7 linked regions of the Macaca fascicularis genome follow. The protein of the gene in region 3 binds, or shares a complex with, the protein of the main gene of each other region. Links are inferred from orthologs where the notes say so. Each region holds a gene or a part of one and is shown on either strand. Other genes may lie near its edges.

Evidence for each region.
Region 1: SNW1 (region 3) and SNRPF share a complex: the UniProt entries of both Homo sapiens proteins name them as parts of the minor spliceosome. The link is inferred for Macaca fascicularis from reciprocal best matches to the Homo sapiens genes SNW1 and SNRPF.
Region 2: SNW1 (region 3) and DHX16 share a complex: the UniProt entries of both Homo sapiens proteins name them as parts of the minor spliceosome. The link is inferred for Macaca fascicularis from reciprocal best matches to the Homo sapiens genes SNW1 and DHX16.
Region 4: SNW1 (region 3) and SF3B5 share a complex: the UniProt entries of both Homo sapiens proteins name them as parts of the minor spliceosome. The link is inferred for Macaca fascicularis from reciprocal best matches to the Homo sapiens genes SNW1 and SF3B5.
Region 5: SNW1 (region 3) and EFTUD2 share a complex: the UniProt entries of both Homo sapiens proteins name them as parts of the minor spliceosome. The link is inferred for Macaca fascicularis from reciprocal best matches to the Homo sapiens genes SNW1 and EFTUD2.
Region 6: SNW1 (region 3) and PLRG1 share a complex: the UniProt entries of both Homo sapiens proteins name them as parts of the minor spliceosome. The link is inferred for Macaca fascicularis from reciprocal best matches to the Homo sapiens genes SNW1 and PLRG1.
Region 7: SNW1 (region 3) and RBMX2 share a complex: the UniProt entries of both Homo sapiens proteins name them as parts of the minor spliceosome. The link is inferred for Macaca fascicularis from reciprocal best matches to the Homo sapiens genes SNW1 and RBMX2.

The regions. Positions count from the first base shown.
Region 1 is NC_088385.1:102,897,957-102,901,137, reverse strand, and holds the end of SNRPF (small nuclear ribonucleoprotein F), read right to left. Parts: intron 1,544-3,181; coding exon 1,479-1,543; coding exon of another isoform or gene 1,475-1,478; exon of another isoform or gene 1,443-1,474; intron 872-1,442; coding exon 805-871; 3' UTR 733-804; downstream 1-732. UniProt on the Homo sapiens protein: Plays a role in pre-mRNA splicing as a core component of the spliceosomal U1, U2, U4 and U5 small nuclear ribonucleoproteins (snRNPs), the building blocks of the spliceosome.
Region 2 is NC_088378.1:142,000,420-142,005,091, reverse strand, and holds the end of DHX16 (pre-mRNA-splicing factor ATP-dependent RNA helicase DHX16), read right to left. Parts: intron 4,603-4,672; coding exon 4,440-4,602; intron 4,353-4,439; coding exon 4,234-4,352; intron 4,109-4,233; coding exon 4,041-4,108; intron 3,454-4,040; coding exon 3,291-3,453; intron 3,193-3,290; coding exon 3,031-3,192; intron 2,735-3,030; coding exon 2,561-2,734; intron 1,166-2,560; coding exon 1,037-1,165; 3' UTR 946-1,036; downstream 1-945. UniProt on the Homo sapiens protein: Required for pre-mRNA splicing as a component of the spliceosome. Contributes to pre-mRNA splicing after spliceosome formation and prior to the first transesterification reaction.
Region 3 is NC_088381.1:145,686,146-145,690,494, forward strand, and holds part of SNW1 (SNW domain-containing protein 1), read right to left. Parts: intron 2,943-4,349; coding exon 2,826-2,942; intron 1,475-2,825; coding exon 1,333-1,474; intron 1-1,332. UniProt on the Homo sapiens protein: Involved in pre-mRNA splicing as component of the spliceosome. As a component of the minor spliceosome, involved in the splicing of U12-type introns in pre-mRNAs.
Region 4 is NC_088378.1:48,298,683-48,302,171, forward strand, and holds SF3B5 (splicing factor 3B subunit 5), read right to left. Parts: upstream 1,416-3,489; 5' UTR 1,340-1,415; coding exon 1,079-1,339; 3' UTR 730-1,078; downstream 1-729. UniProt on the Homo sapiens protein: Component of the 17S U2 SnRNP complex of the spliceosome, a large ribonucleoprotein complex that removes introns from transcribed pre-mRNAs.
Region 5 is NC_088390.1:65,951,565-65,956,614, forward strand, and holds the start of EFTUD2 (116 kDa U5 small nuclear ribonucleoprotein component), read right to left. Parts: upstream 3,180-5,050; 5' UTR 3,103-3,179; intron 2,776-3,102; 5' UTR 2,707-2,775; intron 680-2,706; exon of another isoform or gene 676-679; 5' UTR 558-675; intron 1-557. Other genes in the region: DNAAF19 (dynein axonemal assembly factor 19), read left to right, coding at 4,837-4,979. UniProt on the Homo sapiens protein: Required for pre-mRNA splicing as component of the spliceosome, including pre-catalytic, catalytic and post-catalytic spliceosomal complexes. Component of the U5 snRNP and the U4/U6-U5 tri-snRNP complex, a building block of the spliceosome.
Region 6 is NC_088379.1:159,451,621-159,455,682, reverse strand, and holds the end of PLRG1 (pleiotropic regulator 1), read left to right. Parts: coding exon 1-94; intron 95-571; coding exon 572-765; intron 766-1,313; coding exon 1,314-1,373; 3' UTR 1,374-3,057; downstream 3,058-4,062. UniProt on the Homo sapiens protein: Involved in pre-mRNA splicing as component of the spliceosome. Component of the PRP19-CDC5L complex that forms an integral part of the spliceosome and is required for activating pre-mRNA splicing.
Region 7 is NC_088395.1:136,676,176-136,681,219, reverse strand, and holds the start of RBMX2 (RNA-binding motif protein, X-linked 2), read right to left. Parts: upstream 3,259-5,044; 5' UTR 3,195-3,258; coding exon 3,190-3,194; intron 2,979-3,189; coding exon 2,863-2,978; intron 1,412-2,862; coding exon 1,360-1,411; intron 1-1,359. UniProt on the Homo sapiens protein: Involved in pre-mRNA splicing as component of the activated spliceosome. As a component of the minor spliceosome, involved in the splicing of U12-type introns in pre-mRNAs.

The sequences.
Region 1 (3,181 bases), on a different chromosome or scaffold from region 3:
CCATTCTCTTACAACATGAGAATGTAAATGATATATTTTCTCAACCCATCTGTAGGGAAGTTCATAGCATGCTGTTATTACTATGGAATATACATTTTAACAATGTATAACTCTAAAATATCTGAAGGGTTTTGAAAGGCTTAAAACTTAACCTCGAAGTTATGGTCTCAGAACATAACTGTGAGACCGGTTTTTATTCCACATTACGTTTTGTTCAAAGAACTTTTTTCTCCTTAGTAAACAAATCATATGCCCTTAGCCTGAATGTCAGTTCCCAATTTCTGTTGTGCCCTGTCTGTACAATCATTTTAATTTTTAGAGGATGTTTCAGTTTTAGCTACAATATGTGCATTTAGCTTATACTGACACCGAATTAACATGTAATTTATTGACTAAGTAAAATAAGACAGAATATTATTAATGCCAAGAAAATGTTTAATTTTATACATGTTAAAAGTGGCTCAAAAATAACTTGAAAACGTTGCATTTAAAAGGTCGCAGCTAATAGATAATTTTACAAGAAAAGGTCTGAAATTCACCTTCATAAAAATATCTAAAGCATATAATTATCCTTTATGGGGGAAAAAAAAAAAGAGTATTGAGCTTACAAAAGAAAAGCAACTTAAATGAAATTCGGTGGCTTTTAAAGCATTAGTTCTGTGAGTAATCTTTCCCAACTGGTTCAACATTTGAGCTTTGCTTGTAAATATCTGAATACAAATAGTTCGCAAGTCAAGTTGAAAAACAAACAAATCTTTATTGTCTAGAAATATATATATAAAAAAAAATCCCCAACAAAAGATGCTATTCTCTCATTTCCCCATCTTCTTCCTCTTCTTCCACACCTCTGATATAAAGGACATTATTACACCTGTAAATAGAAAAAGTCCATTTTGTTGTTCCAACCAGAATGATCTGAATTACTGTATTTTTATTATGAAAATACTGAATGCTATATTTACAATATTCTTGTCTTAAAAAATTTTTTAATATATTTGTTTTTAAAAAGAGTTTTACATAGACTTGTTGAAAAGCACATTGCACTTATTTTCCACCATATGGTTGTTAAAATGACACCTTTATGATTTTCCAAAGGAAACAATTACCAGAATTTGAAGCTTTGAAGCTAGTACAGAGAATCAATATAACAAAAATCCTTACAAACAGCCAGACCCAACTAAAATTCAAAACTAAGTTCTTGCAATGAAGGCCACTGCAAAAGGTTGCCACTGTAAAAGGTTATAGCTAAGAGCCAGAAAATTTAACACTAGAAAAATCTTTTGGCCAGTTCTAAAACATTTGAAAACTTACCTTTGACAAGTTTAACAATTTCAAAGACTTTTGAAGTCTAATTGTAAAGTATTATAATAGTAATTTTTTTTTTAAAGTACTTCCAAAATTGAGGCACTAATATATTTAGAACAGGTATTCCTAATGCTCACCAGTAACTCCTTACATATACCACTGCTGTTCGTTACCTTATTAAAACTTCACCCAGATGTCCAGACAAAGCTCCATCTATGTATTCTTCTGTATTTGCAAGCTTTCAATAAAAAGAAATAAATTAGTATAATCACACAGGAGGAAAATATTACAATACAGCTAATACTGGTGAGAGAACTTACTATGACCTTCCTATACCAACAACTCAAATTTATCTATAATTAATAAACAGAGGATGAGCTTTCTATTACTACTGTAGTACTTTTGGTTTCATATAAACCTTCAATAAAATTAATATTCATGGATATAGAACAAATATATAATAAAGTTTGTCTCAACATAAGCCTCTGAATCTCCCAGGTTATGTAATATTTCTTTCCATTAGATATCAAAACAGTGTGTGGAAGAAGGCAGTCTCTATGAATAAATTGTGATTAAAAAGTTTTCTGAAAATTCATTCTAAAGAACCAGACGTTAAGTTTTCTCAGAGTAAAACATAAATCATATTGAGGTGTCCAAATGGGTATACAAAAGCTATGGCCAGCATGCCAAATACTTTTATATTAGTCAGCAACCAAAGCAGATAACTGAGTTAGAATTTTCTTCTTTTCCTGTCTTTTAAGAAACAGGGTCTCCCTCTGTTGCCCAGGCTGGAATGCAGTGGCACAATCATAGCTGAGCAAAACCTTCAACTCCTGGGCTCCTCCTGCCTCAACCTCCTGAGTAGCTAGGCCTAAAAGCATGTGCCACAAAGTCTGGCTACTTCAAAACAATTTTTTTTTTTTGTAGAGATGAGATCTTGCTATACTGCCCAAGCTGGTCTTGAATTTCTGCCTTCAAGTGATCCTCCTGCCTTGGCCTCCCAAGGTGCTGGGATTACAGGCATGAGCTACCACATCTGGGCCTGAATAAGAAAATTTTTTAAAATTATGTACCAATAAACAGGGAAAAACAAGTTCTTAAGTGAAAGTTAAATAGTTAACAGTGACTTTTACAGTTATTTTGTTGAACCCTATTATTTCTAATTTTATATCAAAATGTTTAGCTTTCCTTCTACATATAGGTAACAATCTTTACTTGTAATTAAAAGAAAAATCACAATCAATGCCACCTGGGACTCAGCGACGACACTAACAGGAGTGAAGGGAGAGAGGGAGGTTTCCTTCACAACTAGGCATGTGGAAAAGGAAAAGAAAAACACGGCTTAACAATAAGGATCAAAATAGGATGTGACATAAGGCATGAAAAACATGTTAATGAACACTACTACTGGATGTTACTCCCTCTCTTATAGAAAACAAAAAGTAATCTTCATTATCCAGATGATAGTTTTGTCTGAAATATATGAAGTTGTTGAGACAATTAGTTTGTATGTAACGGCTATAAGAAATAATGTATTAAGAGCAACTAATTTTTTGTAAAAGGTAATTACGACATTTAACTGGTTTCTAAATTACACAATAATGCTCCACATACTTTCTATCATGTATTAAATTCAGTCTTCACCATCACTTAACAGGCTCTCTATGGCCACCATTCTAACCTAACTTTGTCATTTGTCCCTTAACTCAATCTGCTCTGGCCTTTTTGCTGTGCTTTGAACATACCAAGCATGCTTCCACCACAGGGCCTTTGTACTTGCTATTCCCTCAAACTGGGATGCTTTTCCCCAGACACTCACCTGAGTTGTACACTAATTCTGGTATCTTCCAGAATTCGCTTCCTCAGAGTGGCTATC
Region 2 (4,672 bases), on a different chromosome or scaffold from region 3:
GAAGTTGCAGTGAGCCGTGATCACATTACTGCACTCCAGCCTGGGTGAGAGTGAAACCGTCTCACCGAAAAAAAAAAAAAAAAAAAGTACTGAACAAATGAAAAGTCCTGTCTCTTATGTTGAGCCTTACAACCTGGTAAATTTCTGCCTGGGAGTAGAATCGCAATAAAATGTTAGGCTCAGCCACAAACATTGGATATAAGTTTTTAAACCAGCAGTTCCCAAACTGCTGCATGGTAGAAATGCCCAAGGATCGTTAAAAAATATTGATGCCAAACACTGATTTAATTGAGACGGGACAACCTAAGCACTGAGATGTTTGTAAGTTGCCCAGGTGATCTAATATGTAGCAGAATTTAGAGACTACTCGTTTAAACAAATGCTTGAATTCAGCTTTGGGACCAGTCACCTTCTCCCTCAGTAAGCCTCCCTGTATTCCCCAGGACCTATGATGCCTACTCCACTTTCTACCTGAATTCCAGTGGCCTCATTTGTCGCCATCGTCTAGATAAAGTGAGTCCTAGGTAGGGCTGGGTGGGGTGAAGGGTAGAACATCTGTGTGCCTCCCGCAACTGGCATTAACCTTTCTCCTTGCAGTTGATGCCTTCACACTCACCTCCAACGCCTGTGAAGAAGCTGCTAGTGGGAGCCCTGGTGGCCCTGGGGCTGTCAGAGCCAGAACCTGACTTAAACCTGTGTTCCAAGCCCTGATCCTTGACCTTTGAGTGGGGGCAGCACTGAAGACTGCTAAGCCCAAGAGAAGGAGGTGGAGGCAGCCAAGAATCTCAGGAGCCAGCTTCCTCCCTTTTCTCTCCTGCCTTCCTTTCCATCTCATGCTGTGTAAAGCTGCTCTGTAATTTAACTTGTAAATAATAAAGTTTAACTGACTATATGAGATAGAATTTCATGTATCACTTTCTCTAGATCCCAAATATTCCCACAAGCTTTATTCCAAAAATAATTTTATTTAATAGGTATTAAATAATGTATAGAAGGAAAAGGAGCTGGTGTCACAGGTTCTGTTTACGTCCTTCTCTTACCCTAGCTCTTCTCGTGTTTTGCCTATTTTTTTGGGCATTTTCTTAGCATGGGGATCTTCTAGCTCCTTGGCCTTATAATAATGGGGAGCCACCTCCAGAAGCCAACTGCTCTCAATCTCCAGTACCTAGGAGGAGAGAGAAAAGATCAATGGAGTTCCCTTCTTTCCAACATAGATCTTTTGTGTATTATTATTTTTTTCGTAAATTGAAACAGGGTCTTGCTCTGTTGCCCAGGCTGGACTGCAGTGGCGTATCATGGCTCACTGCAGCCTCGACCTCCCAGGCTCAAAGCAGTCCTTCTGCCTCAGCCTCCCAAGTGGCTGAGACTACAGGCACACATCACAGTGCCCCATTAATTTTTTGTATAGATGGGGTCTCAGTATGTTGCCTGGGCTGATCTTGGCCTCCCAAAGTGCTGGGATCCTGCCTTGGCCTCCCAAAGTGCTAGGATGGTTTACAAGAATGAGCCACTATGCCCAGCCCCAACCTAGATCCTCATGTGTGTGGTCAAAAGTTATCTTTCCTCTTTGACTGCAGGGCTAGGGGTAAAGGTGCCTGGCTCTATTATTATATATCCAAAGGGCAGATACACCTCTATGTGTTATTCAAGATACCAAATAAGCTATTCCTAAGAAAAGTCTAGAACATGCCGGGCGTGGTGACTCACGCCTGTAATCCCAACACTTTGGGAGACTGAGGCGGGCGGATCATGAGGTCAGGAGTTCGAGATCAACCTGGCCAACATGGTGAAACCCTGTCTACTAGAAATACAAAAATTAGCTGGGCGTGGTGGTGGGCACCTGTAAGCCCAGCTGGAGGCTGAGGCAGGGGAATTGCTTGAAACTGGAAGGCAGAGATTGCATGAGCTGAGACTGTGCCACTGCACTCCAGCGTAGGCTACTGGAGTGCGAAACTCTTGTCTCAAAAAAAAAAAAAAAGAAAAGCCTAGAACATAGACAAAGTACACTGTGAGACAAGAGACACTCTGCTTTGTTCATTATAGCCCCAGCACCTATACAGTAGCCATTCAAATATGTATTGAATAAATGTCTAGTTCTCAGATCTTGGAAGATGCTGACACCTGTTAGAAAGGATGTCTTTGGGCTGGGCACAGTGGCTTACAACTGTAATCCCTGCACTTTGGGAGGCCGAGGCACACATTTAAGACCAGCCTGGCCAACATGGTGAAACCTCATCTCTACTAAAAATACCAAAAATTAGCCAGGCATTGAGGCTTGCACCTGTAATCTCAGCTACTTGGAAGGCTGAGGCATGAGAATATCTTGAACCCGGGAGGCAGAGGTTGCAGTGAGGCTAGATTGCGCCACTGCACTCCAGCCTGGGCAATAGAGCGAGACTCAGTCTCAAAAACAAAAACAAAACAAAGGATGTCTTTCTATTTTACCCTACCTTCCTCTTTCTGTACCAGTCCCAGCAACTTGAACCTGGGTTCTTAGCTTGTCAGGATACCATCTCTCTACATAGTCTCCACCTGTGTGGGCACAGGATGTTGTCCTCACCTGTCTCATGAACTCTTTGGTAGTCAAGACAAGTTCGTGGTAGAGCAGCCAGCGTGGCTGTTGCTCAAAGAGGGAGGAGTTGGGATGAATGAAGACCGTCTGCTGCTGTTTTACTGTGCGGTAGCCGCTCCGAGTCAACCGTGCCGTGTGGTAAAAGTAACCAGCAGTGATGGCCTAAGGAGCAGGCAGGAAAGAAAATCAATGGAAAAGGCAGACATCTGGGGACCCTAAGAGCTCACTACCTTTTTAATTCCAGCTTCAGGAAAACTAGAGAGGTAAGGAATGCATGAAGAACTTCCCAGGAATGAACCTCCAGTGGTCTGGGGAAGAAAGGGCCCTGGGAGGACACCGTCATACACAAGGGGAAGAGGGCATGCTCTCAGGCTGGAGGAACTGCTGCATGCCCCTAGAGAAGCTTGCTCCTGGGAAGGTACTGGGGGTGGAGAGCAGGAGGCTGAAGAAATGCTGACCTTGCGTACACGGATATAGTCCCCCTGGCAGGAACTGAGACCAACTTCCACACGTTCCAAGAGCCCTTCCAGCTGTTCCCGCACATCCCGGGCTCGGCGCATTGATCTGAACTGTACAAAGTTCTCATAGCACCACTGGGAAGAGTAACCACTCTCGGCCCACTGGGAAAAGGATTAAAAAGAAAGGAGAGACAGTTAAGTATACAGTAGGACTAAAGTCCCCCGGTGTCTCTCATTCCCACTCACCCAAGCCCAGTGACCTGTGTGTAAACATTTAGCAGAACCAGGTGGTCACCACCAGGGAGAAAGAAGTTGACACGGGCGTTGTCAGCATGGACGACCTTGTCCTTTGGTCGGTAGAAGATGGAGTTGTTGACAGAGAGCATGGCAGCCACTGTCAGGATCTCCTCTGAACAGCTGTACCTGGGACAGGAAGGGGAAAGCATGAGTTCAAAGCAAGACACATAGGAACAGATATGGTGGAGTGGGGAGTGATCACTGTGTGATGGATGTTCCCTCATGTGGAAAAGGCTGGTTGGCCTAATGGCTACAAAGCAGCCAGCAGATAGATTCTGGCAGCAGCCTGGGGGTCAAGGAGGTAGGGGCCATAGATGAAACACAGTCACAAAGGAGGGACATCCATGGAGGCAGGAGCAGGAAACACTGGGGACTTCTGAGGCTTCTGCAGAAAGTGTGCATTCACTATGTGCATTTGGAAAAGATCTCTGACAGCAGAGGAATGGCATTTAAAGGTCGTCCCTCCACAGCTACATTAAATGTTTTAGTTTCAAACCTTAGAAACGAGTAAGTTCCTCAAGGGGCCAGGCACAGTGGAATCAAGGATAGGATCAAGTGTCTTACCCTCAAAAGAGGGCAATCAGAGTTATCTAATACTTTCTTATGTGTTAAAGGATAATATGATGAAGAGAAAAAGACAAAGAGGACCACAGAGACAAGAGGAGGCCTGGCCAGTATGTGTGCTGGGAGACCAGGTGGAGGGGAGGGCTTACTTCTCAGAGGCTAAGATCATTTTGGACAGCATGGGGTCCACCGGCAGCTCTGCCATCTTTCGACCAGACTAGGGAGAGGAGAGAGAGAGTTGAGCTCAGTCCTCCCTCAGGTTTCCCACTACTACTACAGGGGCCCCTGGAGCCATCCTGACCCCTATCATCCTGCCCCAAGCCATGCTGCCCCCCAACTCACCGTAGTGAGCTCCCCAAGGTGGTTGAGGGCTCCCAGAGCATACAGCTGCTCCAAAGCCAGCAGCAGTGTCTCATATGGTGGAGCGTCCAGGAAATCAAAGTGCATTAGGTCATGGATCCCTAGACAGAGGTGTGACAGATGGAACACAGTCCCTTCAAAGGACAGTGACTCCAGCCCCTCCCTCCTCTCTCAGGTAGCCCAATCACCTAAGCTCTTGAGCAGCAACACGACATTGCCCAAGCTGGTCCTCTGGATCTCAGGCACTGTGGTTTCCTCAAGCTCGTGCTGATAGGCCCAGGCGGTATACAGGCGGAAGCACTTCCCTGCAGCCACTCGACCTGCCCTGCCAGCTCGCTGATTGGCTGAGGCCTGGAAAGAAAGGACAGCAGGCTGGCTGACAATTTGGTCAGGGAAAAGAGAAAAGGCAGTATTTACGCAA
Region 3 (4,349 bases):
TATATTTGAAATTTGCTAAGAGAGTAGATCTTAAATGTTCTCACCAAAACATTTAAAAAGTAACTATAAGAGATGACTGATAAGTTAATTAGCTTGACAGTGGTGAATATTTCACAGTGTATATTAAAACATCATGTTGTATATTTTATACAATTTTTGTTAATTATACCACAATAAGGCTGGAAAACAATATGTCAGGTCACATCACTATGCTCAAAACCCTGCAATTGCTTCCCTTTTCACTTGTCGTAAAAGCTTTATCTTTAGGTTAAAAGGCCATACATGATCTGGCCACTACTCTTCCCACCTGTCCTAAATATTCTGACACCTCATCTCCTGCTTATCCCCTTCTTTCTCATACAATCCAGTCACGTTGGCCTGCCTGCTCTTCCTTGAGCCACACTAGGCATACTTCCATCTCAGTCGTGTACCTGCTGGCCCTTCTGTGTGGGATGCTCTTCCCCCAGAAATCCACATGGTTTGCTTCCTTACTTCCTTCAAGTATTTCTGCTAACAGTACCATCTCAGAAGCGAGGGCTATTTGACCACTCTCACCTTCCAGCAATTTTATATCCTCCTTCCCTGTATTATTTTTCTTCCATATCAATTATTACCTTTTACTATACTACATCATTAACTTTTGTCTGTCTACACTCACTAGAATGTTGATTGTTATATCCCATCCCCCTACCCACTGTCTAGCAAAAACACCTTGTGTCTAAAAGAGAACCTTGCACACAGCAGATGCTCAATATGAACTAAATAGATGAAAGAATGAATAAATGTACCAGGTAAGAATTCAGTAATGAAAAAAACCACCCTCACAGAATTTCTTGAATTATAATTAGGACTCGACTTCCCATTCTAATTGAATTAATACACCAATGTAGACCACTAAGTAAAGTCAGAGAGAAAATACTGGCAGATTTAATGATGCATTAGAGCCTACAAGGTAGAAAAACTCCGGATTATTTCACCATATGAGGGAGTGGAATTATTCAGTTAGATACCTAATTTCTCTTAAGTTTTGAGATTAAAATAAGAGAAAATCAAGCCTATCATTTGAGTAATAATGCAATTTTTAAAAGTACATTGCTCAGAAGTTTAAAAACTTCTGGTACAGTCCCAAACTGAAGACCCACTTTTTTATTATCTCCTGTTGCTTCAGTTTACTAAGGCAGAGATTACTCTCCATTTCTACACTATATCTGAAGTATCTAAATTTTGTTTAGATGTACCTAACTTTATATGCAGTAGGAAAAAAAAGATTTTCTAAAATAGATGTATTTTGTTCACCAAGTAAAATTCAATTCAGTAATGAGAATGTCATACCTTTTTCCACGTGAGTTTTGATCCCAGCTCTTCTCTCCCTGGCTTTCTGAGCCATTTCTCTAAGTTTCTCTTCGTGTTTTTCCTTTTCTTTCTGAGCCATTTTTCTCTCTACTTGGGCACGCATTTCCACAGCTTCACGAGCCTGTTAGTAAAGTCACATGTTAAACAGGACACTATCATGGGATAAATATTTATGGCTGTCATCCAGCTCCCTAAAATCTGGCTGGTAAGAGCAATCATACAGAATTCAGATTTGTTACTGCTAATTAAAACAAAGAATCTTGTCCACTAAAAGATATCCTGCCTGGAAGACACTGCAAGGTCAGCTTTCTTCTCTGGGAATATTTTAGTGATTGAAACTATAGTGACCCCAATTAATCTTGTAAATCAAGTGTTTCACTAATGCTTTCTCAGAAACAATCTAAAAAACAAAAGTAAAGCCAGGCATAGTGGCTCTCTCCTGTAATCCTAGCACTATGGGAAGCCAGAGTGGAAGGACTGCTTGAGCTCCGGAGCTTGGGACCAGCCTAGGCAACATAGTGAGATACATCTCAAAATAAATCAATAAATAAAAAGGGACTGGTTACATTTTCAAAATGAATCAAGTCAACTCAAGATAAAATCTTAACTTACATCTGCTAGATAATTTTTATAAGGAACTCACTGTGATACAAGACTTTTTTTTATGTTCTAAACACATGCTATGATGCATGTGAACTTCAATATCATTTATTAATTCCATAATATTTATATTTATATATATTTTTTGAGATGAAGTGTCTTACTCTGCTGCCCAGCCTGGAGTACAGTGGTGCAATCTTGGCTTACTGCAACTTCCGCCTCCTGGGTTCAAGAGATTCTCCTGCCTCAGCCTCCCAAGTAGCTGGGATTACAGGTGCCCGCCAGCTAATGTTTATATTTTTAGTAGAGATGGAGTGTCACCACATTGGCCAGGCTGGTCTTGAACTCTCGATCTCAAGGAATCCACCAGCCTTGGCCTCCCAAAGTGCTGGGATTATACGCATGAGCCATTGTGCCTGGCCTAATTTCATAATATTTAATACATTATGCAATATTAATAGATGGCCAATGCTATGAACGCCATTTTATGTAGCATTCAATTCATTAGAATGTTTATCTGTCTTTGCCTGCAACTGCCTTTTTGTGGGACAGCTACATCTAAAATACAGGAAAATTTGAAATCAAGAATTACGAAACCTAGCAGTCTTCACAAAATGGGATCATCCCCAGCAAATCATTATTCTGGCATGTTGTGAGGGAGCCGGATCACCATTGTGGGGTGTATGTACACATCTACAAAGGCTAGGAGCATGCAGACAGCTGCCAACTAGCAGCTGCCATTTCTGACACACGTACCATGGGTGAGACTCTCTCTGGGTGCTTGGTACTATAGTTAAATTATCAGTACCTTAGGTAACCAAGAATGGATTTTAAAAGTAACAAGAGCATTAAACAAATTATAACCAACCAACCTTCCGATCAGCAATGTAGAGGGCTTCTGCCAGTTTGGCGAAATTTTCATTTATGTGTACTGTCTGTAGTCCTCTTCCATCAGCAGCCAGACGTTTGTCTAATGGAATTGTATAACCCTAGGGTGAAAGCAGACAGAAAACCCAGTCACAGAAGTGCTTCAATTAATTATTTGAAGTTAAATTAATTTAATTTTTTTCGAGCTGGAGTCTTGGCTCTGTCACCCTGGCTGGAGTGCAGGGGTGCCATCTTGGCTCAATGCAACTTCTGTCTCCTGGGTTCAAGTGAGTCTCCTACCTCAGCCTCCCAACTAGCTGGGACTATAGGCGTGTGCCACTACACTCAGCTAGTTTTTGTATTTTTAGTAGAGACAGAGTTTCACCATGTTGGCCAGGGTGGTTTTGAATTCCTGACCTCAGGTGATCCACCCTTAGCCTCCCAAAGTGCTGGGATTACAGGCACGAGCCATCAAGCCTGGCTAAAATTAAATTAAAATATGCCCACATTTTAGGACCCACTTAAACTTAACTGGGGTTCTTTTTCCTTATATCTTTCTTCACAACGACGCAAAATAACAGCAGCTATCAATGAGTGCTTTATGCAGAAGATCAAACACATCTATGGTCTCATTTAACCTTCATAATAACTCTATAAAGCTTCTAACATTGTGTCCATTTCACTGATGCTTTGGTAACATCCCCAAGGTCATACCGTTAAAATAAGTGGAGGACTAGGATTTAAACTCAGACAGTAGGATTTCAGAACCCAACCTCTGGAAAAATAGATACTTGTGCTGATAATTGTGGATTTTAATAAAAGGAAATCAGTGTCAAACAGTTCAACAGTTGCTCCTCAAATAAATGTAACAGTCAAACAAAGGCAGAATAAATCACTATAATCTTAGCATCTATAGGAAGTTAAATCTGCTGTACTCTCTTAATGATCTGTTATATTCTTAGAACCCTGAAGTTTTAGTAAATAGAAAAAAAAAGGCTGGGTGCAGTAGCTCAAGCCTGTAATCCCAACACTTTGGGAGGCCAAGGCAGGTAGACTGCTTGAGCCCAGGAGTTCAAGACCAGCCTGGCAACATGGTGAAACCCTGTCTCTACCAAAAATACAAAAAAGTAGCCAGGTACGGTGGGGCACACTTGTGGTCCCAACTACTTGGGAGGCTGAGGTGGGAGGAATGCCTGAGTGTGGGAGGTTTAGGCTGCAGTGAGCCATGATCATACCACTGTACTCCAGCCTGGGCAACAGAGCGAGACCCTGTCTCAAAAAAAAAAAAAAAAAAAAGAAAAGAAAAGAAAAAGAAAAAAGAAAAAAACCGTTTGCTAAACCACTGACATTCTACATTCTAAAACTTTGCATCCCATTTCAATAACTCAAGAACTATACTTGAATATCTATGTAACTTTCAGGCTTAGTTTTATTTTCCAGATACCTGACTAGTCTCTCAAATGTTGACCTTTAAGTCCATGGTCTCATAAAAATGAAGCGTTACAGAACCAGCTCAAGATACCATCCAG
Region 4 (3,489 bases), on a different chromosome or scaffold from region 3:
TGCAGGTCCTCCAATAAACCATGCATACTCCCAGTGTTAGTACCATTGCACTGGCAGTTCCCTCTTCATGGAAAGCAATTTCTCCAGTTTTCCGCATGGCTATTTCCCTCATTTCCCTAAAGTCTTTGCTCAAATGTCACCATCTCAGTAACTTGTGTATCATATTTAAGATTATGGCCCTACCAACTACTCCCACCCACACCACGTACATTGTTCTCCCCTCCCCGCAGCATCTTCTAACATTTACTTATTACGTCTACAGTGTTTGACCTCCTTTCTCCACCACCAGCATAATGTAAGCCTCAAGACCATGGGAAAATGCCTGTCACATAGAGCTCAACAAATATTTGTTGAATATAGAAAGGATGAACTCACTTGCCAGCTTGTCATTTCTGGAGACATGGCCACAAATTCCCAAGAAAAAGAAAGGATGCATTTTAAAGAGGCTAAGGAGGACAATGACAGCAAAGACTGCAAAGACTTTTAAAACGGGAGAAAAAGAAAATGGGATACAATAACCACAAACTTCAATACTGAAGGCATTGTGGGCCTGAAAATAACGCTCTTGGGAGAAGTGGCAGTCGGGGAATTAATTATAATGGTAGACAGGGTGGATTTAAGTACCTGATCATGGACACTGGCATGCACTCCCTCCCCCGACCCATTTCCCGCTCGGGTCTTTCAGGAGCCCTCCACCCTAACACAGGAAGTTCACACCAAGAGAGTGAATGATTTCTAAACTTTATGGAAAAAGCCAATGACAATCAATTAGCCAAAAATGAGACGCCAAATCCCATCTCATTCCAGCGCCACGCCCTCTTCTCAAACGCTTGCCGGCTCTAGGCCCTCTTCACCAACACAGTTCTCAGGGGTTCTGCTGGTCTCCCAGTGCTATTCCAAAGGGTTCACATGAAGGCAGGTCAGGCGGGATTCCCCGGGCAAGCACTTCTGTACGCGGAAGTACCAGACGCAGGAGCCATGGAGAGCCGGTCCTTTGGAGGCAGAAATAGTCGAAGGGATTGGCCAACCTGAGGAACACTGGGAGAGGTGCCCCGCACAGTGGTGGTAAGGCAGAGTCTCAGTTCTCCTCGGGCTTGTCGGCTGGCGGTCCACAAGGCTGAAGCATCTTCTCCATCAAATTGAAGCGGACTCGCGCTTTGCTCTCATTCTCTGCAATGGCGAAGTAGTTGAGAAGGTCGAAGTGGCCCATGTAGGAGCAGTACGAGTCGCGGTGTTGGTTCACCAGCCACTCCCACTTGGTGGTGTCGGCGTGGCCCGTGCCGATGTACTTGGACTGCAGGTGCTCCAGCTGGCTGTGGATGGTGTAGCGGTCCGTCATCTCGCCGCTTTCCCCTTAGTTCCCAGGACAGAGGACGCAGACAACAAATCGCCGCTCTGGCGTTTCACGCGGGAGTGAGGCCACCGTGCGGAAGCTCCCGGCCCGCGCCGTCGCAGAAGAATGGCGTCACGACGACTAAGTAGCGTAAGTCTCGCTCATAGGGCTCAAAGGCGGAAGCGGAAGCACATTCTGTCACGGAATTGGAGTTGCCGAGGCGACGCCACAAGTGTGTCGCCCCTGTAGAGAGCCCCGCCCCGTCAGAGAGCTTTGCATGATGGTCCACTTGGTGGCTATGGGAAGCCCTTTTCCAACAGGGAGCCTTGCATGCTGGGACTTGTGGTCTTGGGAGTTCGTGCTCGTAGGCTTCTGGAACTCCTGGTCTCGTTTTGTTGTTTGAGACAGAGTCTCGCACTGTTACCGGGACTGCAGTGTAATGGCGCGATCTCGATTCACTGCAACTTAACGCCTCCTGGGTTCACGCGATTCTCCTGCCTCAGCCTCTCCAGTAGCTGGGATTACAGGCGCACACCACCACGCCAGGCCAATTTTTTTTTTTTTTTTTTTTTTTTTTTTTTTGTATTTTTAGTAGAGATGGGGTTTCACTGTCTTTGCCTGGCTGATCTCGAACTCCTGATTTCGTGATCCTCCCTCCTCGGACTTCCAAAATGCTGGGATTACAGGCGTGAGCCACTGCGCCAGGCCCCTGGTCGCGTTTTAAAAGTGATCTGGGGACCTAGTGGAGGGTGATGTCTGGGAGGTGGGGAGCATCCGTGGGTGGCTTGGGGCTGATGGGAAATGGGAAACCCAAGTAGGACTGGACTACAAGCAGCCCCGAAAATAAACTCTCCCTGTTTTCCAAAGCTATCATGGTAGCACAGCCATCCCTTCACAACCAGGGATGGATTTCCCAGAAGTCGGCAGGCACAAGTTCTGGTCCCAGCTATGTCTCTTAGGAGTCTGTGGCATAAAAGAGTTATTTCAGCTCTAACCAGGGTGCTTGGTGAGCAAGTACAGCACCAATTCCCACACATTCCGGCTTCCACCTCAAGCTCCTCCTTCCTCTCTAGCCACTTATTTTGATATCCTTCCTCCAAGGCCTCACTGCACCCTACTTGGCCCTTCCATTCAGTGGGTTTTGTGGATTCAACCGACCCGATTGAAAATATTTGGGGAAAAAGTCAGTCTGTACTGAAGTGTAGACTTTTTAAGGTTATTATTCCCTAAACAATACAGTATAACAACTATTTACATAGCATTTACATTGTATTAGGTATTGTTAAATAATCTGGAGACAAACTATACAGGAGAATGTGCATATGTGCAAATACAAGCCATTTTATATCAGGGACTTGAGCATCCTCTAGTTTTGGTATCCATGGGAGTCATGGAACAAATCACTCACGGATACTGAGGGACAACTGTACTTCTCCGTGTTACCTGTTGTGCCCATACCCATTTTCTTGTACAAGCTGTTCCCTCTACGTGGAATGTCTGTTCCCTTGGTGAATACATCTCCCAAAAAGGCAGCTCAAATGCATCTCCTTAGAGTTTTCTCTGGCTGCTCCAGACAGATGTAAACTCTCCTTCCTCTTTGCAGGTTATACATCTCTTCCTTGTTATTGCTTTATATCCTACCGTTTGGTTTAATAACTTCCTTACATGGGTAGAAGCTACTTGAAAAAAAAAATCCAAAACAAAAATTTGATAAATGGTTAAATAACTCTATTACAACGGAAGGGAAGGAAAACTTTACTAGGAGAGAGATAACTTGAAAATTATTTTATTCTGCTGTTTAAACTTTGTTGGGTCAGGTTCCAAGATGGCCAAATAGGAACAGCTCCAGGCTACAGCTCCCAGTGTGAGTGACACAGAAGACGGGTGATTTCTGCACTTCCAACTGAGGTACTGGGTTCATCTCACTGGGACGTGTTGGACAGTGGGTGCAGGACAGTGGGTGCAGCCCACCAAGAGAGAGCTGAAGCAGGGTGAGACATTGCCTTACCAGGGAAGCACAAGGGCTTTCCTAGTCAAGGGAAACCATGACACACAGCACCTGGAAAATCGGGTCACTCCCACCCTAATACTGTGCTTTTCCAAGGGTCTTAGCAAACGGCACACCAGGAGATTATATCCTGCGCCTGGCTTGGAGG
Region 5 (5,050 bases), on a different chromosome or scaffold from region 3:
GATGTTACCTTATGATAATATTCAGGTTATGTGTTTTAGGCAGGAATATCATAGAAGTGATGCTGTGAGAACATGTGAGAACTGTGGTTCTCAAAGCATTTCCTATCAGGTGATACATGATTTCAATTTGCCTCATTGGTGGTAACGTTAACTTTGATCACTTCATTAAGGTGATGTTTGCCAGGCCTCTCTATTGTAAAGTTACTCATTTTCCCTTTGTAAGTAAGTAGTGTTTTGTGGGTTTTTTCCACTTCAATTATTGAAATTCTATTCAAAGAAACAGTTCAAATGCCACCACCTCCTTCAAGCTTTCCTAGCTCCTCAATTTCTCATTCCCCTATCCTACTAGAGCTTTTTGCACCTTTATCAGTGTTTAATTTTGTCTTAAATAGTAGTTAACTGGCTGGGTGCAGTGGCTCACACCTGTAATTCCAGCACTTTGGGAGGGCAAGGTGGGCAGATCACGAGGTCAGGAGATCGACACCATCCTGGCTAACACAGTGAAACCCCATCTCTACTAAAAATACAAAAAATTAGCCAGGTGTGGTGGCACGCACCTGTAGTCCCAGCTACTCAGGAGGCTGAGGCAGGAGAATCACCTGAATCCAGGAGGCAGAGGTTGCAGTGAGCTGAGATTGCACCACTGCGCTTTAGCCTGGGCGACGGAGCAAAACTCTGTCTCAAAATAAATAAATAAATAAATAAACAAACAAACAAATAGTAGTTAACTGTACTAATTACCATCACCAACTATAGTTTATAAGCAATAAATAACAGACTAGAGCATCAGGGCTCTGGAGTTGGAAGACTTAGATTCAAATTCTAACTTTGCCACTAACAACTATGTAACTTCAGGTAAGTTGCTTCATCTCTCCAAACCTGACTTTTATTCCTCAACTGGAAAATGGAATGAATAATCCTCACTGAATAAATGTTTATGAGGATTACAAAAAACACCCTGTGTAAAGAATTTACCAGAGTCCCAGGCTCAATAAACAGCTAGCATTATTTTTTGCCATCCTTGATCATGAGAACCCTGTGTTCCATGCATCTGCTTCTTCCCTTCACTTCTTTTATGATACTAAATTTAATTTTAAAATAATACCAAAAAGTGGCAAGAACAGTACAAATAACTTTCTTTTCCCCAAATATTTGACAGTAAGCTGCTGACACAATGCCTCTTCAGCTCCTAATACTTTAGGGCAAGAATTCACAAACTCTGACCTGTGGCCAAATCTGGCCCCTCCACCTGTTTTTGCATGGTCCTCCAGCTAAGAATGCATTTTACTTTTTTATTTTTTTGAGACAGAGTCCCATTCTGTTGCCCAGGCTGGAGTGCAGTGGCACCATCTTGACTCACTGCAACCTCCACCTCACAGGTTCAAGCGGTTCTCCTGCCTCAACCTCCCAAGTAGCTGGGATTACAGGCACCCACCACCTCAGTTGGCTAATTTTTGTATTTTTAGTAGAGATGGGGTTTCACCACATTGGCCAGGCTAGTTTCGAATTCCTGACCTCAGGTGATTCGCCCGCCTCGGCCTCCCAAAGTGCTGAGATTACAGCTGTGAGCCACCGCACCCAGCTGCATTTTACATTTTTAAATAGTTGAGAAAAAAGTACCAATGCTAACACAGTCAACAGCCAAGACAGCACCTTGCATAAGTAGAAACTGGATAAATGTTAACTGAATGGGATGTTTAATTTTAAGATGCTGATATTTCTTGGATTAGACTGATACCTCCACCTCCCTCAATGCCATCTGCTGGGTGCTGAATGTAGAGAGAGAATCGGAGCTCCAAGGACCAATAACTAAATGTAAATTATTATGGAAACTTTCACATGCATACAGATTCTTTTTACTTCCAAAAAGCTATTATCGCATTTATGCTTATCTCATTCTCCCAAGACCCCAGTCAAGTGCTTGAAGAAATTATTTATCTATTTATTTTATATATATTTTTTGAGACAGAGTTTTGCTCTTGTTGCCCAGGCTGGAGTACAACGGGACGATCTTGGTTCACTGCAACCTCCGCCTCCTGGGTTCAAGAGATTCTCCTGCCTCAGACTCCCGAGTAGCTGGGACTACAGGCGTGCACCATTACGCCCGGCTAATTTTTTTGTATTTTTAGTAGAGGGGGGGGTTTCACCATTTTGGCCAGGCTGGTCTCGAACTCCTGACCTCGGGTGATCCGCCCGAGTCTGCCTCCCAAAGTGCTAGGATTACAGGCGTGAGCCACCGCGCCCGGCCGATTGAAAAAAATTTTATATAAAGCTGTTCATGGAACAAGCCAAGTTCAGTTCTGCCTCAGGGCCACTGCACTTGCCATTCTCTTTGTCCAAAACGCTCTTCCCTTTGATATTTTCACCTTGTCCCTTTATTTCAATCAAGTCTCCACTAAAATGTCACCTTCTCTGTCACTCTAAAAAGTCCCCCATACATACTCTCCAACTTCCCACTTTCACTGTTTTATTGTTATTCACAAATGTTATACATTTATCACTAGCTGACTTCTATCTAGTTGTTTACCGTTCATTTCCCCAACTACAGTTTAAGCAAGGGCTTGTTTTGTTTACTTAGAACAGTGCCTAGCGTAGACTAAGCCCTCAATACGTATTTATCGAACTAATGAGTGACTCTAACATGGTACAGAGAATATAGCTGATTTGCCCACAGTTACACAAAACTAGCGACTCATGGTTACAAACCTCACTGCTGCTTCCCGCTACAATGCAGGCGCTCAAAGGGAACGTCGGAGGGAACTTGGCAGAGAACGGCTGAAGGCGGCACAGATGGAAAAGGGAATGAGCGACGGGACTGGACAGTTAGAGCAACACTCCTTTCTAGGGATACGATTTTACGGACTGAGGCTATAGAGGCAGCCCCGAAATCGAGGTGTGTGCGTGCGTGCGCGCTTCGAAAGCTTTGGGGAGGCACGCGGAGGAGAGGACCTTCCATTATTTTTTCCGCTCCAGGCCTCAATTTACCCATCCGTAAAGCAAAAGGGGCAGATAGCATATAAGGCCTCTTCCAGATCTGACGCTCTTTAATTTCCTATCCCACCTGGAGCAAGCATTCCTTGCCGCTAACCCGCTTCAACTTACCTCCCGCCTGCTCAGCTAAGAGTTCTGAGGCCGCCGCCGGAGAACGCGCTTCCGCCCCACGCCAAAGAAACGTCTGCGCCCGCCGCCAGGAAGGACCCCGCAGACACCGCTGTCGCCTTTCTGCCCGGGAGGACAACCCTCCGCCTGAGGACCAGTTCCGAGGTATGCCCTCGCGGAGACAGGAACTGGCAAGGCGGAGTAGCCGGTCCCCAAGACGAGTAGCCCAAGACGTGGGCTGCTCCAAAGAGGGTGAGACCTGAGGATGAACGAATCTGATCAGGCGCCTCGGGACTACCCTGAAATGGGGGGGGCCTTCCGGCAGATCACGTGGCCAGGCTGTTAGCGCAGTTGCTGGGCAACCACAGCTGCGGGAGTGGTCTGCGCGGGGCTGCTCTCATGTTGACTTATCAGGGGATCTCCAAAGAAAACAAGGGGACCAAGGACGGGGCTGCTGGGGTGAAGGTCCAGGAGGCTGAGTAAGGGGACAGAAGGGTTAGTAAATGCCTGGGGAGGGCTGAGAACTGGACACTTGAGTTCGGTTACTGGCCAGCCCAGCCCCTTCTTGGCGTTCAGATTCCCCACGTTGGGGTAGGGTGGCTGTGGGATTGGTTGGGGACCTCCTGCTTCCTTGCGCTAGGGCTGTTGGTGATGACCCCGCCACAAAATCTAACTCAACTCACTAGGAGTTTGCAGTTCAGAGAGGTCCCACAACAAGTAAATGCCAGAGCCACGACTAGAACCCACGTAGAGAATCTCTCTGCAGATGGCTCACGCCTGTAATCCCAGCACTTTGGGAGGCCGAGGCGCGCGGATCACTTGAGGTCGGGAGTTCGAGACCAGCCTGGCCAACATGATGAAACCCCGTCTCTCCTAAAAATACAAAAATTAGGCGGGCGTGGTGGTGCACGCCTATAGTCCCAGCTCCTCGGGAGGCTGAGGCACGAAAATTGCTTGAACTCCGGAGGCAGAGGTTGCAATGAGCCGAGATCATGCCACTGCACTCCAGCCTGGGTAACAGAGCAAGACCCTGTCTAAAAAAAAGAAAAGAATATCTCTGTAGAAATCAGTCAGCCTCAGATACGCAGAAGCTACAGAAGTACAGTGGTAGAACTAAAGACATTGCCCAGGTACCTAGGGACCTCTGTTCCAGCCCTGGGCTGGACAGAGGGATTTGGGATCGGGTCATTGAGCTCCTTCCTCTGCCCCTTCTGCTTGATTTCCTGCTCAGTCATTGCGTGTGGTTTGGGTGAAAGTCTCCTTCTTCACTAAAGACATTCAATGAAGAATGAAACTTTATCCCTGAGCTCAAAGGTACCTAACAAGAGTTCTGCTTTTGTGTGAGGTCCCCTGTTGAAACGACTTGCTGTAGAACAATCCTATGGGGGAAGAGTGAAGAAACTGAATTCTGAGATCCAAATGCCTCCTCGACTGAAGCACCAAAATTAAAAGTATTTTTAGAGGCACAGAGCAAAATTAAGACAGAACTCCAAATTGAAAGTCAGGACTCTGTATTCTATTTTCAGCGACAAGTCTTGTGTAAGTCCTCACTGTGAAATTCAACTTGTCTGTATAAAATAGAAAACCAGATTTTTGTAACACCTCCCAGTGTGAGTGACATAATGTCCAGAGTGCTTTGGGGTCATTTGTGTTCTGGCGCATAATCCAATAACCCTCTTTCCCCTGATATTGACCGTCCACTGACGTGTATTCCCTTTGCCTTCCCGGGCACAGGCCATGGAAAGGAATGACATTATCGACTTCAACGCTTTGGAGAAAGAGCTGCAGGCTGCACTCACTGCTGATGAGAAGTACAAACGGGAGAATGCTGCCAAGTTACGGGCAGTGGAACAGAGGGTGGCTTCCTATGAGGAGTTCAGGTTGGCTCACTGCCATTTTTCTCAGGCCCTCCTGTTATGGTGGACTATAGTAGTTAACCCTGAAAGCAAAC
Region 6 (4,062 bases), on a different chromosome or scaffold from region 3:
TTCCCTGATGGAAGTTTCATTCAAAATCTTTCCGGTCATAATGCTATTATTAACACATTGACAGTAAATTCTGATGGAGTACTTGTATCTGGAGGTAAAATAAGATTTTTATAATAAATATGTTTATCTGTTACTTTTAATGATGAATAAACATTTGTAATGCTTCTAAGCTGTCACACTTAAGTATTATAGCAGCACTTGCCTGATTAGGGCATATTTGCATGTTACTATGTGTGTTCATGCATATTCATAATACATGTAGTATATTTCATAGTTTAGTCCTTTTGAGTTCCAATCTGATGAATCTCAGGGATTTATGCTGGGAATTGCCTAAAATTTTGTTTATTCTGGAATTGGATGTTAGATTTTAGGTGCTTTTTAAGATCTATAAATTCTGAACCCAGCACAAATGAAAGTAGAAAAGCCAATATTAGGAGAAGATTGAGTGCCTGTGTCTTATGTATTTTTATAACCGAAGTATTGCCATGCTTGGGCTAATGATGCTTAATAAATGTTTGTCAAGCTGTACTGCTGAAGGGATACCAGGTGTAACTAGATTTTTCCCTTTAAGCTGACAATGGCACCATGCATCTTTGGGACTGGAGAACTGGCTACAATTTTCAGAGAGTTCATGCAGCTGTGCAACCTGGCTCTTTGGACAGTGAATCAGGAATATTTGCTTGTGCTTTTGATCAGTCTGAAAGTCGATTACTAACAGCTGAAGCTGATAAAACCATTAAAGTATACAGAGAGGATGACACAGCCGTAAGTTCTCTGTTTCACATTTGTTAAGTAAAGCAGCTATACCAATTGGGCACTGTGTTCTCATTTAATTTTATCAGAAGGAAAAATAATCTTTATAGTATTTAAGATATTTGTTTTCTTGAATAGTGTCTATTTATAGATTTCTATATTATTTCACTGATGCCAGTGAATTCATGGATGGTTTTAATTTTATCCCAGCTTTCTTTGTTATAGTTGCTGGGAAATGTTGCACCAAGAATAACAGCAAATAAATAGATTGCTATGCAAATTAATTTGAGAATCATAAGCTTTGGTATTAGTAGATCCAAATAGAAATGTTATTTTAGATTAAAAACTGCAAACTAAACATAATGAATCCATCCATCTGTTATTAGACTTAGATAATGCCAGAAGTTTATCAACTCTTCCTAAAATTGTCAAAGAACTACTAAGTATATAATGCCAATGAATAATGTTAGAGGAGATACCTTATTTCTGTTAGAAAGGAAGCCTGTTAGACATGAAGCAAACTAATAATACTTTATTTTAACTTGCTTTTCTACTTTTAGACAGAAGAAACTCATCCAGTCAGCTGGAAACCAGAAATTATCAAGAGAAAGAGATTTTAATGAATGTGGAATTTTCTTTTTTTTTTTTTTTAAAAAAAAAAAAAAAAGCTTGGCGTTGATGAGGATACCCAGTCATTTTGTGCTCTGGCTGGGAATATAAAGGAGAAATTCACTTGCTTCAATCATTGCTGCTTCATATTTTACAATAAACTGTCCCCTGTCCCCTACCCTTGTGTTTTTATTTCTAAAACAATTTGTGATACTAGGAAGATGCAGATATCAAGTAAATGCAGGTTTATTGACTGTAACTATTCTAGATGTAATATTTTGACAGTCTTATTAGAACAACCCCCTTTTTAAAAAAAATGTATGAAACCGATTATTATAATAGGACATTTGAGGGAGCAGTAGGTTTTTTTTTTTAATCCTTTAAAAATTAATATCTGTGACTAATAATTTGAGATTAAAAGATTTAAAGTCTTAACTTATATATGTTTATTCCAAAAACGGTTTTTGAGTGTATGTTCTACAAAGTTCTGCACTAGATACCGTTCAGGAAATAGACAAGTAAGATGTGTCTATCCTCTAAGACTTCCAGTTTGGTAGCTTAGTATAGAAATTCTGTAATGGAGGTGCAGGTGAAATGCTGGGGGAACAGAAGTGGGGATGAGATCATTTATTTTTCTCAGGAAGGATTGTGGAAGACTTCATAGAGTAAGTGGCATTGGAGATGACTTTGAGGTGAAGGAGGACAAAGAAGGAAAAGAGATAAGGCATGAAGCGATGAAACCAGGCAGAAGAAAGTGTGCAGTGTGTCCTGGGACAAAGAATTTTCTGCTACTGTTGAATAATGGAGAGTAAAGCTGGCTTGTTGTGAGGAAAGCTCATATAAATTTGGATTTTATTCCACAACTAGTAAGATACCAATACTGCCATTGAAACTTGGGGAAAATAACTGGAGATACCAGTGCAGCTGTTTAAAACTGTAGCAAGGGCTGCAATCTTGTAGAGATTTTAAAGAGAAGTTTTAAAGTTTCTAATGCCTCTTTTTGATAAATACAAGTTTTATAAATCTTGCCCTGGGATCCTGATTCCCCTTTAGTCAAGAAGATTTGTCAGACTTCACCTTCTATAATGAGAAAACACAGTTATAAGAACAGTCAGTTTTTATAATTTTCCAAATTAAAAAATTGCACTATGATTTTGAATAAGCATTTCCAATTATATTACCCATCTTGCATGCTATAGGTGGGAGTATAATTGGCACAACCTTTAGGAATGTAGTTTTCTGGGGTTTATTGAAACTGTTTGAACCTTTTGGCCTACTAAGTTCATTTCTAGGGAACTGCCTAATGGGAATAATCTGACAAGTGTACACAAGCAAATTCATTGCACCTTTGTTCTTTAATACTTAAAACTCAAATGTCCTGTCAATAAGGGATGGTTTAATAGATGGTTCCTTTATGCAATTTGTTTCTAAGTATTCATTAAGTGAGTGAGGAATGTCTGGATTATTAGGGCAAAATTTCCAAACTTTACTCTTAGTTAAAAAAAGTTGTGCAAGCATTTTTTGTGAACAACTTAATGCTCCAAAATATAACACCACATTACTAACAGTGGCTTTGTTAGGAAGCAGAATTATGGAAGAACTTTCACGACTGGCTTTACATATTTCTATGTTTTAATTTTCTATAAGCATGTATTTCATAAACTTAAATAAAGAAAAAAGAACGCTGCACTTGCATTCCTGAGAGATTCTGATATGCCTTCTAACAACAAAAATCAGAGGTAGATGCTGTTAAAGGCCAAGAAGAAATGACTAGTACAAGGAGATGAGAAAGCCCCTACCAATCTTTTTAGCAGAGCTTCAACTATTGTGTTCAAGTTAGGTACACATATCAAATTCTGAAAAGCATTTAAAAAAATCTGTTTCCCTGCTCCATGCTGGCCTATATTACAGTGTTTCTTGAAACTTCTGTTGCATTAAGTTCATCTACCATAATGTGTTCATGGACCCTATGAAAGGTGCAGAATTTCATGCATGTGCCCTTTTACTTACCTGACAGACCCACCACCAGGGTTAAGCCCAAATCTCTTCCACTGCCCATTGCATATAGCTTAAGTGTAGTCAAGCTATAAAGTGTTACCAAAGAAAGGCAGCTCCAGAGACCGGACTCATTCTTGGTCTGTAACCACATATCTCAAGGGAGCCATCAACAATGACCAAATACACATCTCCATAGTTAACGCCTTTTGCCTGCTGTTGCAGAGGATGAGCAATCGGCCTCACAACAATTCCCTCTGTGCAGTTGTTGCCATACACTCTTGCCCACCCAAGGACCTTGCTCCCATGATTAAACCCTGACCTGTACCATGAATTTCTTTCCTTGGCCCTAAATGAATGTCATCAAAAAATAGGTTTCAATACTGCCTCTTAGAAAAAAAAAATTACTAAACCTAATGTTTCCCTCTAGGAATATACCCATTTCTCTATTCTTATAGCTAAACTTGTAGAGTTTTTGATAAACTTATTTCTATTTCCTCACTTTACATTTTCTCATTTTTTCAACCAATGGCAAAAAAAAAAGAAAATGTGTTAAACATTTTTCTTTTGACAAAAGGAATTGGTAAGTTAATGAAATAAGGAAAAATAGTAAATAAACTTAAAAATTGATTTTTTTGGTACAAAAATAGGTAAACCTAGATAAACCAATTAAACAGAAATATAAATAATAGAAACAAAGGGAAG
Region 7 (5,044 bases), on a different chromosome or scaffold from region 3:
GGTGATCCGCCCACCTCAGCCTCCCAAAGTGCTAGGATTACAGGCGTGAGCCACCATGCCCAGCCAACAAAGCAGTTTTTTGAAAGGCACTGTTATCAGCGGCAATCTTCATGGAGAGCAACGTGTGTAACCAGAATAGAGAATAGAGAATTAGAATAAACAAACAAGCACACGTGCTAGCTGATCATCACTCAATGCAAGTAGAACTAAACAGCTCCAAGAGGGAAGGCTGAGTAGAAGTACACAAAGGGGTAGAAATTATAGGCTGCACCTGCTGTGAACCTTGCAACATCCACAAGTTGAAGGAAGCAATCTTTGTCCCTGCCAGGGCCCTCCACTCGTGTGGGTTGCCCAGGTTCTCTATCACAGCCTTCTTCTCACGGGTATTGCCCAATTCCTTTCCCATGGCTTGCTGCCCCATAAGTGGCCCAACCACTCAGCCAGGGCCCTCTGTCCATGGATGGCCCTACCATCCTGCCATAGCAATCCCTCTGCCAGTGTATGCTACCTGTGTTTGCTTGGCCAGCCCCTTTTGCCATGGTCTGCTACCTGTACATGCTGTCCAACTTCTCTGAAACAGTACTATGCTCTGAAGGCCTACAAAACCCAAATGTAGTGGTCCTTTGCACCTGTGCCAAGATCCTCTGGCCCTGTGGACTAACTGTGCTGTTTACCTCTGGGGTTGCAGGCCAGCTGCCCAGCCCCTCTCCTACTAGCTGCTACTACCAGTATGAGCCACCAACACCCTCTCCCACCAAATGCTGCTGCCAACACCTCAGCAGAATGAAGAATATACAGATCTCCTATTCATTCTTGTTCCTCGTCAGGCTGTGATTCTCAGCCTCCAGGTAGAGATTGGCTTTGCTCACTAACCTTACATTCATTGAGAATCAAAGAAAGCAAACTACAACCTTCTTTCTGTTTTTCATCCCAATTCCTCTGTGGTTTGCCCCAGTCGTATGATGCCACACAGGCAAGGACCAGAAGGGCCCTGTGACCATGGGTTACCCCTAGTTTGCAAGAGCCCAAGGAGGCGTACCAATATGGAACCTTCCTGAGGGTTCCAGTCTGTTCCAGTCTAGGCCCAGGCTGAACAAACCTCAGTGAAAAACAACAGAAATAGACTAGAATCCCCAAGATGGCCTCCCAAATTAACAAACCTCTTGGATCTCCCACAGGAGAACATTCTAGAACCATGTCCTGGGACTGATCTAGACTAGAGCAGAAGCTCCAGCCCTCCCCATGCAGGGACACCATTCAGCCTAGAGTGAAAATAAGTGGTTTTTGTGATGCCACAAAATGCATTACAGAAAAAAGTACTCTGTCGACTCAGGAGGCAGGAAATGAAAGGGGACTTACTGTGAGAACACACAGATGATGTCCCCTTCAGTCAGTTCATAAGGAAGCCCTCCTAGAAAAGAAAACCACATTTCAGTTCCACCAACATTTACCAAGTGTTTACTACGTACCATGCACTAGGCCAGGCACTAGGGGTGCAAACAGTAAGCAACAGGCCCTGCCCTTAAAGAAATCAAGTCTGGGCTGGGCACCATGGCTCACGCCTGTAATCCCAGCACTTTGGGAGGCCAAGGCGGGTGGATCACCTGAGGTCAGGAGTTCGAGACCAGCCTGGTCAACATGGCGAAACCCCGTCTCTACTAAAACTACAAAAAAAATTAGCCGGGCGAGGTGGCGGGCACCTGTAATCCCAGCTACTCAGGAGGCTTAAGCAGGAGACTCGCTTGAACCCAGGAGGCAGAGGTTGTAGTGAGCCGAGATCACGTCACTGCACTCCAGCCTGGACAACAAGAGTGAAACTCCAACTCAAAAAAAAAAAAAAAAAAAAGAAAGAAAGAAATCAAGTCTGATGCAATGACAGAAGTACATGTAAGGTGCCAGTAGAACAGGAAAAGGAGTGACTAATTTTGAGTGGAAGTCAGTGTCACCACTAACAAAAGTAAACTGATCACTCAGTCCTCCTGGCACCCAAAATCCTATGGGCAAAGCAGATAGTTTCCATCACAAACCTCTGCTTCCACAAACATGTTGAATTCATCTGCTCATTACCCACAAATTTACAGCTATGATACAAAATTAGTCTACATATGTCATGATTAACCCCACCTACACATAGACAAAGGTTATAAAGACACTGTTAAGCATTTCCTAGGGAATAATTTCCCTTCCAAATGTTTCTTTCCTCATCTGTAAGATGGGGATATTAGCAGGTAACTCGCAAGACTGTTATAAGAGTTAAATAAAACGATGCATATAAAGTGCTTAGCACAACGTTTTTACAATAACCTCTTTGAAGCATCAAACTTGTACAATTACTGGTTGTGATATAAAGTGAATACAGTAATGGTAGTGTGGCCATGGTCAGAAAGCAGGAGCTAGAGGAGCAAAGTGAATTCTGCAAGGGAAGGGGAATGGGGGAGGGCGGTGGTAGCAATATGGGGCTGTGGCTAAGACCATGAGTTCTAGAAAGCTATAGTTCTGCCTGTTGCGGTTATTAGCTATGTGACCTTAAGGAAGTCCCTTAACTTCTCTGCACCCCAATTTCCTCAGCTGTAATAACGGGTCAGGGGGTGAGAGAGAAATAACAACAGTCCCTGAACCTTAGCACAGCAAATGGCAAACAGTAACTCTCATGAGCACTGATTTGGCTGGGAAGGAAAACTAAAAATGGGGCAGAAAAAAAAAAAAAAAAAAAAGATGGAACACGGATTCCCGGGCAGACAGCAGATGGATATAAAGGAGGGCAATGAATGTAAGCAGGAGTGAAGGGTGAAAATGCTGAAATAGTCGGACACCGAGCAGGAGAATCTTGGGAGCACTGCGGAAGAAAGATGTGCACCTCACCCAGGAAGATCCAGGCGCTGTCCTTGTACTCGGAGTGCCAGGACACTTTATCGGCCACCCCAAGCTGGACCTCTCGTTCATTCAGCTCGTTGATCAGCTTCACCTTAGTTAAAGGACTTCACGGTGGCGGGGGTGAGGGGAGGCAGAAAAGCAGACAAGTAAATGCTAACCGGCCGAAGCTGAAGAAGAGCAAAACAAGGGGACGAGGTGTTCTAGTCCCCGCGCCTCTCCCGCCCCTCGACCCCGCAGACGCTCTACCACCCCAGCCCCAGTAGACCACCCTCAGCGGCCCGCTGCTCGTTCCTCAAAAGGAAGCTGACGCCTTACTTCATCTCCGCGGGCTCGCGCTCAGCATTCAGGAATCAGCGCCCGGGAAAGGCAGCGCCGCGCATGCGCGGCCCCGGCGCCGGTGGCTCGTCGAGTCGGTGACCTCGCGCCGGAAGAGCTGGGGCGTACCGGGGCGTGGCGCCTGCGCACTAGAAGCCTTCCGCGTTCTTTGCGGTTACCTCTTGTAGAAACGGTTTTTCTCTAATTTTTCGCTTTTTCTCCTCTGTGAAATGGGGTAAAGGCACGAGCCTGGGCTGTTGCAGGACCCCCAGCTCTTGAACGATATCGGAAACTGGTTAGATTAGCTATAAATATTTGCTGAATGAACGGAATAAGCAGCCTGATGTGGCGACTTTAGTCTCAGCCCTCGCTCCCAGTCCAGAGTCCCACTTGGACCTTCGCTCTTAGTCAGTTGCTCACGCACAGACCCATCAAAGCATCCCTGTCATGGCAGAAAAGTGAAGAAGATAGGTGAAAAGGTAAATCTTCTGTTGTTCTTATCCCAATACATAGGCAACAGACCAGTGTGCCTCTATAGGCTGAATTGAATACCTACAGATTTGCATGAGAGCCGCTGCACTTACTCTTTTCCATAGGCTCTCTCCTAGTTGAGCAGGAGACAGAAATTAATATTGTTAAATTAATAGCTAGCAAGTGAGCAGATGATGTACTGTATGATACTAGAGTATGTGCTAAGCAATTTACATGTATTGTCTCTCCACCCTCACAACAACCCAATGAAGCAGATAAAATTACAATTCCTGGCCGGGCGCAGCAGCTCATGCCTGTAATCCCAGCACTTTGGGAAGCTGAGGGAGGAGGATTGCTTGAACTCAGGAGTTTGAGACCAGCCTGGGCAACATAGCAGAACCTGTCTCTAAAATAAAGGAAAAAAGGGGGGGCCAGGTGTGGTGGCTCACACCTGTCATCCCAACACTTTGGGAGGCTAAGGCAGGTGGATCACCTGAGGTCAGGAGTTCAAGACCTACCCAGCCAACATGGTGAAACTCTGTCTCCTCTAAAAATACAAAAATTAGCTAGGCATGGTGGCACACGCCTGTAATCCCAGCTACTCGGGAGGCTGAGGCAGGAGAATCACTTGAACCTGGGAGGCAAAGGTTGCAGTGAGCTGAGATCGCACCACTGCACTCCAGCCTGGGCAGCAGAGCGAGACTCCTTGTTTTTAAAAAAAAAAAGAAAGAGAAAGTAAAAGAAATTTCCACCCTCGTTTTGTAGAGGAAGAAATGAGGCTCAAATGAATAAATTAACTAGAAAGGTACTAGAGCACCTGCACCCAGTAGGTCAGGTTGATTCAATCAGTCCTTACTGAACATCTAGATTTGTCCTGTGCAGCTAAGGTCTGTAGACAGGAGTATCAGGTTGGGTCCTCTGCCCTCAAGGAGCTAATATTATAATTAAGGGGACAAGATATATTTGCCTGATAGATTTCAACCAGAAATATCTAGAAACCAGTGGAAGAGATGATTAACATATAATATGTGATTTAACCCATATTGACAGTTTGAATCCATTTTGCACATGTCCACATCAGTACCTGCTCTTGGACCATGATGTTCTAAAAGTAAAAGTCCAGAGCTGTGTGGCCTATCTCAGAGCACCAGATATTAGGTCCTTCATAAAAACATTTTGATGACGATACCAACTGTACCCTCAAGTGGCCCACCATGTAACCAATGTCCTGCCAAAAAGGAGAACAGAGCCTGCCCACCAATGACAGTTTCTCCTCATTCATTCTATGTCTGTTCCCCCTTCCCCATTCCAACCTAGCTATTCATTAACTTTGTAAAATTATCTTGGCAATGAAAGCTAAACAGTGACAGATTGCATATGGGGG